Linked DNA regions of Coturnix japonica. The protein of the gene in region 3 interacts with the protein of the main gene of each other region in a biochemical or structural test. Links are inferred from orthologs where the notes say so. Each region holds a gene or a part of one and is shown on either strand. Other genes may lie near its edges. The genes, in order: MYOD1, CDKN1A and HDAC1.

Region 1 (3,749 bases), on a different chromosome or scaffold from region 3:
AATCCTCTCCACAATACTTGAAAGGCAGTCGAGGCTGGAAACAACAGAACTCTTCCCATGCTTTGGGTCTGAAAACAAAGGCAAATGTGATCCATTTACCCACTGTGTACTTATATCATAGGATGTAGTTCTTTCATAAAGAAATGAAAAGCCCACTAAGTGGCTGAAGTGCACATCTGAGAGCATGCAAAGAATCAGAGGAAATGGGTATGAGTGAAGGATGCCAGTTATCAGGAAATGGATTGCAATCTGTGAAACAGAGGAGAGACCCAAGTGAAACAGGCTGCTATTCAGGGAGGGTGGATCCAGGGCTCTACTTCAGTCCTCAGAAAAGGAATGGAAGACTGGAATTCCATCAGGCATCTCTCCAGTTTGGATCAATGATACCTGGTTAGAACAGGCTTCAGGCAAAATGGGGTTAAGACTAAAAATCAGCAGCAGAGAAGGATGTGTTCCTAGACACTCTATTTGTAAAATGGGAAATGCAGATATAACATATCCCCTGCACTTGCAAATACATTTACATGAAATCCAGTGCTTCTGCCAGCCTCAGCAGCTCACTGGCTGGACAGGCAGGCTCCTTCCCCAGCCTGGCTAAGTGACTGGGGATGGAGAAGGCCATGGGGAGGCTACGGCAATGGCTGACCCCATCCTCCGTGCTTCACATAGACATATTCTCAACAGTAGATACTCACCATTTGGTGATTCTGTGTAGTAGCTGCTGTCATAACTGTTTCTCCTGCGAGAGCTGCAAGGCGGCCCGCTGTACTCCATCTGGAAAGGAGAATAATCTGAGTGAGGCTGGAGGGCTGCCTTTTCCACAGGTCCAGGAACCATCTGATCTTGTATTTCAGTAGCTAATCTGTGCAATCGCTCTCAGCTGAAATGCTGTCAAGTTTGTGTTGTAGAATGAAGCAGACAGAATTAACTTGCCAAAAAAAAAAAAAAGGAATGGATTTACACCAGAATGTGTAAATCCATGCTTGTTCCAAAGGCAAATTACCACCATTGCTATGACAGAAGCTGTGGCTTTACCAGAGATGAGGTTTTCCAGCAAACTCATCAGTACTGCCCTACGTGTATGGTCAGTTTAGGAAAGGAAGCTCAGGAGAGGAATTCTTTTGATCTAACTTTGGAAGACTTTTCCAAACCTGAGTTCCTCTGAGAAAGCCGCTACTCTACCTTTGGATTTCCTGCAGTTTCCCTTCTTACTCTGGTTTTGTAAAGAAAGACCGCCAAATCCTGACCAATATATTTCTGTTCAGTATGTGAATCTACAATGAAAAGGCTGCATTTTGAGGAGCGGATCTTTCTGTAACTCTCTCCCACCTGCCAACTATTTCACAGTCCCAAGAACTCAGCTCAGTGATTATTATCCCCACTAGAAAAAAAAATGCAGAAGTGTCCTTGTGGTCCTGTTCTCGGCAACAGTCCTGCAGCCACCCTTGTCCCCTCCCCATAACCCAAGGCTCTAAGCCTGGACTCTTTTTCTTGCTGGTAAATGTCTGCAGAGGGGTCAAGTGAGAGGAGAGCTGGCCTTCTTAAGGGTCAAGGAAAACAACTCCTGTTACTTGGGCCATCCTCCTGTTATCCCGATGAATGATAGAAAGCAAACACTATGCTTGACCAGTTGCCCTGCACGTTTTCCCCTGCAATTTCCACACCCAAGGGGACCTGCCTCACTGCTGTCCTTTGAGGGACAGACAGCAGAGCATGAAATCAGAGGTGCCTGGAGGCCATTGTGTTTGCAGGCACACAGGGACTGCCTAACCTTCCTCCCAGGAATCTAACAGACTTCCCTTCTCTTCCCAGAGACCTGGCGTGTGGGGACCCTGCTTCCCTCTGCTGCTGAACTATGAGGAGGAAGGACCTCATCTCCTGCCCAGGGCACTCACCATGCCATCGGAGCAGTTGGAGCGAGGGCTGGAGGCATCTGACTCCCCGCTGTAGTGCTCCAGCACTGGGTAGTACGCATCCTCCTGCTCGCGCAGCAGGGCCTGCAGGCTCTCGATGTAGCGGATGGCGTTCCTCAGGATCTCCACCTTGGGCAGACGCTGGTTGGGGTTGGTGGAGGTACAGCGCTTGAGGGTCTCGAAGGCTTCATTGACCTTGCTGAGCCGCCGCCGTTCCCTCATGGTGGCGGCTTTGCGGCGGTCAGCATTGGTGGTTTTCCTCTTGCAGGCCTTGCATGCCCACAGCAGGCAGCGGCCGGCCTGATGGTGCCCACTGGGTGCCCGCACATGCTCCTCCTCGTGTGGGTGCCCGTGGTGGTGCCCGTGGTGGTGCGGGTGCTCCTCAGGCTTCAGCAGCCCACCCACGTGCACCAGCCGGGGGTCCAGGTCCTCGAAGAAGTGCATGTCCGATGTGTTGAAGCACGGGTCATCGTAGAAGTCGTCAGCGGCCGCGAAGGAGCAGAGGGAGCCCTCCGTCATTTCCATGGGGCCCAGTAAGTCCATGGGGGCGATCGGGAATGCGGAGCGGGGCGAGAGGGTGGTCGGGGGGCGCGGGGGGGTCCCGAGGGTGTCTGTGCAAGGCAGGCAGGGAGTGGGGTCCTCGCACCCTGTCCCAGGCGAGGCCACCGGCGCGGGTTGTAACTGCTGGCACCACCACCACCGCCGACCCCTCCCCAGCCGCACCGCCTCGGGAGCGCCGCTCGGGGCCGTATTTATGCCGGAGCCCCCGGCGGGCCGGGGCGGGGCGCGGCGGGGCGGGGAGGGGGCCGCGGCTAACGGAGCCCCCGGAGCCTCGGCCCCCTGCGGGGGGGAAGGGGGAGTTGCGCGCGGCGGCGCGGGGAGGGCCGAGCGGCCCTCGGGTGCCGGATCCCCGCTCGCCGGAGGGACGGCCGCGGCCGCACGGTAACGGCGGGGGCGTCCGCGACGGAGCCGGGAGCGGGGGACGGCGCGACGAGCCGGGGCGGCGGGGCGAGGACAGCGACGGGGTCGGGGCTGCGGCGCGGCGCGGCCGCCTGCAGGGGGGAGTAGCGGCCCGCGGCCGTCGGCGGAGCTCGGGGAAAGCGGAGGGAACGGGAGCGAACCGCCCCGTCGGAGCTGCGGGAAGAGGCTCCGGGCCCGACGGGCGGCTCGCGGAGCGCCGCGTCCTTCGCCCCGCAGCGACGCGCCGGGGCTGCTGCCGCGTGCTTTCTGACGGCGCTCGGGCGCGTGACGCCGCTCGGGAGCTGTTCTGTCAGAACCCCAGCGGAGCGCCCGCACCACGAGGTGTGAGGATGGGGACGGGTGCCGCCATCGACGGGTCGTGCCCCGGAGCTGCGAGGGGTCGGGCGGGGCTCGGGCACGGTTATCGGAGCTTGGCCTGAGGCACGGGGCACCGCGACTGCGGGAAACGCGCGGCTCCTGGGCTGAGTCGTGCGGCCGTGGTTCTGCTGTGACCCACCTGAGTTACAGTAAGTGACTCTTTGCACCTCGGCTCAGATGTGTACGTTTGCGATTCAGGTTCCCCTTTGAACTCGAGGCTCAGCTTACCTTAATTCCAAAGCCTTTGAAGAGATTGACATTACGTCGCGAGTGGCATTGTGCCGCACGTGTAACCACACTGCAGTCCAATTGCTTGTGCAATAAGAGTGCAATAAGCTTTCTTGGGCAGAAAGCTGTGGCAGAGTTGGGGATATGGAAGAGTTGTGTGGCTTTGGTAACATCTCTCAAGGCTGCTGGAATCTGGGTTTGGAATATCACTTGAGCTGCAAAGTTCAGGTCTTTCTCCAGTACTGAAGTACTGCAGCACTTCTGCTGTGT
Region 2 (3,749 bases), on a different chromosome or scaffold from region 3:
GGGCCAGGCATCAGCCCTGCATCCCTAACACCAAACCCCCCCTTGAGCAAACCTTACCTTCTCCACGTGCTCTCAGTTTTGGGGTGGTGCTGCCTGGTTACACTGTGGGGCTCCCCAGGGCTGGGGGGTCATCAGCCTCACACAGCCTGCATCGCTGCTGTGCACCTCCCGGCCCCACACCGTCATTCTCTCTCTTACTCAAGGCAGCCTTCCGCTTTGGGGTTGCACTCAACTGCCGGTACGTGCACACGTTTCCTGTTTGCAGCACCACAAAGGGCTCAGCAATGGATCCCAACCCACCCATAGACCCCAACCCACAGCAGGAGCCCCCATCCCTGTCCTGCTGGATCCATCCCACAGCTGGACATCCCAAACCCCCCCACAGATACATCACAGCTCCTTCCCCACCAGCATCAAACTGCACCTCTGTGGCTGCACCCTTAAAGCAACCCCCAACCCACACATAACATCCCCCCACCCCCCATAGCACACCCCACAGCAGTCATTCCCATTAACAGCCATTCCCATTAACAGCCACCCCTTCTCTTTCCACCAGACAAGTGTTTATTCAGTTACACTCGCAGACAAACAGGTTCTTTCCCCTTCCAAGAAGCCTTAAAACAGTGTTTTCATAAATAAACATTGAATGCTGGGCACTTGCCAGCATCTCTGACAGCAAAGTGCATCACGGTATGAGCTGGGAGCAGCACCCTCCTCCTCTACATGGGAACACCCCGTGCCAATCCCAATCCCAATACAGAGAGGGGGAAACCAGTGAAAGTGCTGAGATCCGACAGCACCCAGAGCAGGGCTGTGTCCTATAGGGCATCCCTGGGTCACAGAGACAACAGCAGGAGCCAGGTCAGGCTCTGGAGTAGGAAATAGTCCAGGAGAAAAGCTGGCACTTCTTGCAGGGGCAGCCCCTGCTGGCAGTGCCAAGCAGCAGCTCAACATCCAGCTTAATGTCAGCATTGCACGATGCACAGCCAGCCAACACCACGCCAAGAACCCAATGGGGCAGCACAGCCTGGAGCAGCCCAGTGCCTCCCGAGCTGTGCCGGCCTCAAGGGTACACACCTCCAAGTACATTTGTCACCACTGTGTGACCAACACATCACTGAGTCACACTGGGAGCAGCTCCATGCAGGGCTCACACCCAGTGATCCACAGCAGGGAGGGCCATGGGGCTGCTCCATGAGACAGCAGGATGCTGCTGGGCAACACCAGCACGGGGCAGGAGACACCCTCAGCCCCACCTGCTCCATTCCAGTCCTTAGTCCTTCCCGTGGGCTCCTCCTATACATTGCACACAGCATGGGCCACTCAGGACCCCAGAGCTACTCATAAATAGGGAACTATAGACTCGGTATCGCTTTGTACAGACAGTGCAGGGCAGGGAAAGAGCCACGACAGCCTCCAGGGCACGGCAGCATCAGCATCCATCCCCAGCAGCAGTCACAGCCTGGGCTTGTCATGGACGACTCTTCTCTTGGAGCTGTAGAAGTCTGCAGGGCAAGAAGAGAAGTTGGGATGTATCAGGAGCAGAAGGAGGGGGCAGCAACCCAACCCCAACCCCAACCCCAGCCCCAGCCAGGTGGGCTCATAGCTTCAAAGCCCCGCATTTATGGGGCTGTGCATCACTTGGTCCCATCACATCCCCACTGCTGAGCCACTTTTGGGCCATGGGAACTGAGGTTGGTGATCCATATGGGGGTATTTTTTACCTATGGGACACCCGAGGCTGGTTCTGCTGCCTCTCCCCTCCAAAGATGGTTCTGTGCTAAGGGTGGTCCCATGGCATGAGGGGCATCCCCCCTCCACCACTCACCTTTAACAGTGGTCTGCCCCCGCTTCAAGTGCTGTGCAGAACCGACCCTGGTTTGCTCCGAGCTCTGCTGGGCTGCCCCACAACGAGCCCCACCGACACCATCCTTACTGGGGACCCTGCGTGGTGCTGAGCTCCCGTTGCTGCCGGGCTCTACCCGGGGGGGCTGCTCGGCCATCAGGACCCTCTCCCACTTGAAGTGCCCATCCAGGGGCGTCTCCGTCTCGAAGTTGAAGTTCCAACGTCTCTGAGCTTCTTCCAGCTGTTGCCTCAGCAGCTCCTCGAAGTCGTTCCGGATCTGTTCGTGGTCCACGGGGCCGAAGAGGTTCCTGCACGCTTTGCTGCTGCACGGCATCGGGCCGGTCCTGCTCTGCGCCAGCGGCATTGCGGCTGTGGGGAGGGGGATATAGAGGGGGGGATATGAGTCCAGTGCATATAATGGGAGCCCCCAGGACCCCTGGGGTGTTAATGATCTCGGCTATAGGGCAGGCTGGCACAGGGGGTCATTGAACCCGGACAGAACTGCGTTAATAGATGAGGGACCGCTCTGCCCCCCCCCGGGATGGGTCACTTAAAAATAGCCGCTTCCTATCAGCGGGGTGAGCTCAGAGCAAGACAAGTCCCAGCATGTCCCGGTCCGACCCGGTCCGGCCCACAGGAGGAGCGGAGCTGTCAAAGCCCCCCCGACCCCGTCCCCAATCACCCCCCATTGGGGTTTCTCTCCCTTCCCTTCTTTTCCCCCCCCCAGTACCGACACCAGCACCGCACTCACCCCACACTCCCCGTCGCTCTCTGCGGTTCCCAGCCCCGCACTCCGCCCTTTATATCGGGGCAGGGAGGGTGGGAGGGGCCTCACGGCGTCGCTCGGGATTTCCCCCCCCCGCCCCACCGCAGAGCAGCTGTTATCGGGGGGGGGGTTCAGTGCCCCCCCCCATAGGGCTGCACGGACCCCCATATGGAAAGCGGGTCGTCGCCTACTGTGCGATGCGGGACCCCCCCCCCCCCCATACAACGCGAAGGATGCGGGAGGGTCTTCAATACGGCTTTGCCAATTGAAGAGTAAAAAGGGCCCCTCCTGGGTCACCACGGGATGCTGCAATGATGGGGAGTGACGGGGGTTGGGGTGGGGGTCCTATGGGACCACCCCTGGGTGCTTTGCCCCCGAGGTGGGCTCTGCTCTACCAGCGGACCCCCCAGCAATGCAGCTGGGCTGGGGAGCTCCGGTTGGCCTGAGGTCAGCAAGCAGCAGGAACAAGCCCGTGCATGTCCTGCATGCAGCAAAGCTGCGGGTTGCATGCAGGGACGTGTGGCCCCGCTGCAAAATGACCCCCCCCAAAACACAGCAGGGGAGGTCTGAGCGCTGTGCAGCTCCCCGTCAGGGTTACAGCACAGTGCCAGGGCTCAGCTGGGTGGGCTGCAGGGGGCATAGGGGGAAGGAATTGGGTTTGGGCAGCAAACAGTGCTTGGGGTGCAAGGAGATGGCAGCACAAAGGCAGGCGGTGCACTAAGCTGGGTGAGCCTGCAGCTGGTGGGCTGCAGCTGAGCCCTGCAGTGTGCAAAGCCCCCCGTGCAAAGCCCCCCAATGCATCCGTTCCCAGGCTGAACCAGCATTTCCCAGCAGATAAAGGATATGTTTGGACATGTCCGGCTGCAGGCAGTGCGTCACACAGCAGTGTTGTCCAGCATCAGTTCCTCCTGCAGCTCTGGGCCAGGCCAAGGTGGTCGCTTTGGGGTTGGATCCTTCTGGATGTGGGGTGAGAATGAGGCTGTCAGAGCTGGCAGCTTCTTGAAGCTGATGGAGGAGTGTGATCTGCAATGATGACTGATGGAGGAAGAGCAGGAGCGATGCTGCAGTGAGGCAAGAATGAAGCAAAGCGATGTGAGATGAATGCAATCGGTTTGGCTGCATCCCAGGGGGAGCCAG
Region 3 (2,806 bases):
AGCAATCTTGGCTTCCTGTCACACAGTTGAGCAGTACCTACCAGTGCTGACCGCAGCGTTCTGATGTTGTTTCTTGAAGTAGCTGTGCTTTGTGATCCCAAGATTGTGCGTCCCCAGAATGTATCACTTCTGTTAATCCTTGGAGACTTGCAAAACTGCAGAAAGTTTACAAAGGAGCCGTGGGAGAGAATGTTCCTTGTCTAAATGCGTATTCAGTGACTGACCTAAATATATATTGGGTAAAACCTTTCCTTAAAGTCCATTGTTTGGCACACTGGGAATTCTGGGCTGTTTTCGTGTGTGAGCTGGGCTAGAAAGCTGTGCACTTATTTGTGCAGATCTCGTGCTCTGAGGTGTAGGTGGGGGAAGCAGCCAAAAGTGTGTGCATGCGAAACAGAGGCTGCGTTTCTCGTCCATTTCCTTTGTTTGTTTGTTGAGACATCCAGTGTTTAAGCCCTTGGGTTTGTGCCCAAAGCACACACAAACAATGATGTGATGACAAGAGACCTGTGCTTCACCCCTGAGCCTCTGCCATTGGTCCTTTGCCCTTGTGCTAACATTTTGTAATTCTTCTCCCAACAGCCAGCGCTGTGAAGCTGAACAAGCAACAGACAGATATTGCTGTGAATTGGGCAGGAGGCCTTCACCACGCTAAGAAGTCAGAGGCTTCTGGCTTCTGTTATGTCAACGATATTGTCCTGGCTATCCTGGAGCTCTTAAAGTAGGTGCAGTTCTTTGCCCTCTTCCCATTTGCTCTGATGAAATGCAGCATTTTGACTCCTTTCTGATCCTAGGTATCACCAGAGGGTCCTGTACATTGACATTGATATTCACCACGGAGATGGTGTGGAGGAAGCCTTCTATACCACAGACCGTGTGATGACTGTGTCCTTCCATAAGTATGGAGAGTACTTCCCAGGAACAGGGGACCTGCGGGTGAGAATGGAACCTTAGCAGAAAATTGCTCTGAAATGTGATCACTCTTCCATTTGCCGTCATACTGATTGTGCAGTTTGTGTGCTATGGTGACCTTGTGCTCTGTCCTGTCTTTCCCTCTAACAGGACATTGGTGCAGGCAAAGGCAAGTACTACGCTGTCAACTATCCCCTCCGGGATGGGATTGATGATGAGTCCTATGAGGCAATATTCAAGCCGGTAAGTGTGCTGAGTGATTCTTTGTGCATCATACTTTGTCACTGGGAGGCTCATGGAGCCATTCTTTAAGGAGACTCAGACTGCTGTTGTAAGATTCCTCAGTGGCTGTGTTCCTCCCTAACAATTGCAGCCTGTTATCATTTAGCTTTTCTTGGTAAGAGCCCCAGTGTTCCCAGTATATGGGAGTCAACAGCTGTGGGAACACCAGGGATGTCTTCACGTCACTTGCTGACATGGACATTACTGTGTTGCTGTGACACTGTCCTGTGGAGAAAGTGTAACAATGAGTTTCTTGTTTAGGTGATATCTAAAGTGATGGAGACATTCCAGCCTAGTGCAGTTGTCCTGCAGTGCGGGTCGGATTCACTGTCTGGGGACAGGCTGGGTTGTTTTAATCTGACCATCAAAGGTAAGAATACAGTGTTTCCATCAAAATAACAAGGCTGGGTCTGTGATGCCAAGAAGCCAGAACTGTGCAGCACAGTGCCTGAGCTAAATTGGCATAAGTAATCTTATTACTTTTCACTGAAAAATGGGTCTTTGTGCCATGGCGTTATTGCCTTTTTCCCTGCTGCCTTTGCTGCAGGTCATGCCAAGTGTGTGGAGTTTGTCAAAAGTTTTAATTTGCCTATGCTGATGCTGGGAGGAGGTGGCTACACAATCCGCAACGTGGCCAGATGCTGGACCTATGAGACTGCTGTGGCTTTGGACACTGAGATCCCAAATGGTAATTTTCCCCTGGAACTTTTGAGGCAAGACAAGAGACAATGGCTACTTACCTAGTGACAGAGCACAGGGAGGGAGTGTTGCTGCAGGGAGGCAGGAACAGCAAGATGTTTCATTAGCTCTTGGTTGTTACTGTGGAAGAGCTTTTTGAGTCTGTGGTTTGCAGTAGTTGCTCTTGTTTGCATTACAGCCTTCTAGTTTTCCCCTCCATCAAGAGATACCCAGCAGTCTTGCAAACGAGATGACCTTCTACTGCTATCTTTTGTTCACACTGATAACATTTAACTGCCAAGTGAGCTTAGACTGCCCTGTTGCTAAGCTGGCTGTTTTGATCTGAGTTTGGGCTATGAAATGGTCAACTCCTACCTCTGGGAAAGTACAGCTGTGCTCTTACTTCGCACTGAAATCTGCTGTATATGAGGGATCTCATTACTGGTCCAGAGGTGATTTGATTTTTGTTCTATTTTAACTCTTATGCAGAACTCCCATATAATGACTATTTTGAGTACTTTGGACCAGACTTTAAGCTGCACATCAGTCCCTCAAACATGACTAACCAAAATACCAACGAGTACCTTGAGAAGATCAAGTAAGTGTTTGCCCTTCTTCACATGGCTGACACCTTTTGCTGGGTAAATACAAACATGTTCCTTTCCTGGCTGGCTCTAGGCAGCGTCTCTTTGAGAATCTGCGCATGCTGCCTCATGCCCCTGGTGTCCAGATGCAGCCAATTCCTGAGGATGCTGTTCAGGAAGACAGTGGAGATGAAGAGGAAGAAGATCCTGAGAAGCGCATTTCAAGTAGGTGCTTGCCTCTGGCATGGCTGCATTGCTCTGCTGGGAAGTGCACTGCACAGAGCCTGTACATCTCCAAGCATTAGTGCGCAGTATCTTCTGACCTCTTCTCCCCTTCACTCTCAGTCCGC

What was found.
Region 1: the proteins of HDAC1 (region 3) and MYOD1 form a complex in vitro, tested with the Homo sapiens proteins (2 studies listed by BioGRID). The link is inferred for Coturnix japonica from reciprocal best matches to the Homo sapiens genes HDAC1 and MYOD1.
Region 2: the proteins of HDAC1 (region 3) and CDKN1A form a complex in vitro, tested with the Homo sapiens proteins (2 studies listed by BioGRID). The link is inferred for Coturnix japonica from reciprocal best matches to the Homo sapiens genes HDAC1 and CDKN1A.

What each region holds. Positions count from the first base shown.
Region 1 is NC_029520.1:16,197,664-16,201,412, reverse strand, and holds the start of MYOD1 (myoblast determination protein 1 homolog), read right to left. Parts: upstream 2,629-3,749; 5' UTR 2,457-2,628; coding exon 1,896-2,456; intron 775-1,895; coding exon 696-774; intron 69-695; coding exon 1-68. UniProt on the Homo sapiens protein: Acts as a transcriptional activator that promotes transcription of muscle-specific target genes and plays a role in muscle differentiation. Together with MYF5 and MYOG, co-occupies muscle-specific gene promoter core region during myogenesis.
Region 2 is NC_029541.1:1,948,444-1,952,192, reverse strand, and holds CDKN1A (cyclin-dependent kinase inhibitor 1), read right to left. Parts: upstream 2,720-3,749; 5' UTR 2,598-2,719; intron 2,216-2,597; 5' UTR 2,211-2,215; coding exon 1,829-2,210; intron 1,506-1,828; coding exon 1,456-1,505; 3' UTR 547-1,455; downstream 1-546. UniProt on the Homo sapiens protein: Plays an important role in controlling cell cycle progression and DNA damage-induced G2 arrest. Involved in p53/TP53 mediated inhibition of cellular proliferation in response to DNA damage.
Region 3 is NC_029538.1:4,505,114-4,507,919, reverse strand, and holds part of HDAC1 (histone deacetylase 1), read left to right. Parts: intron 1-582; coding exon 583-721; intron 722-794; coding exon 795-936; intron 937-1,062; coding exon 1,063-1,155; intron 1,156-1,455; coding exon 1,456-1,564; intron 1,565-1,741; coding exon 1,742-1,882; intron 1,883-2,361; coding exon 2,362-2,470; intron 2,471-2,550; coding exon 2,551-2,681; intron 2,682-2,801; coding exon 2,802-2,806. UniProt on the Homo sapiens protein: Histone deacetylase that catalyzes the deacetylation of lysine residues on the N-terminal part of the core histones (H2A, H2B, H3 and H4).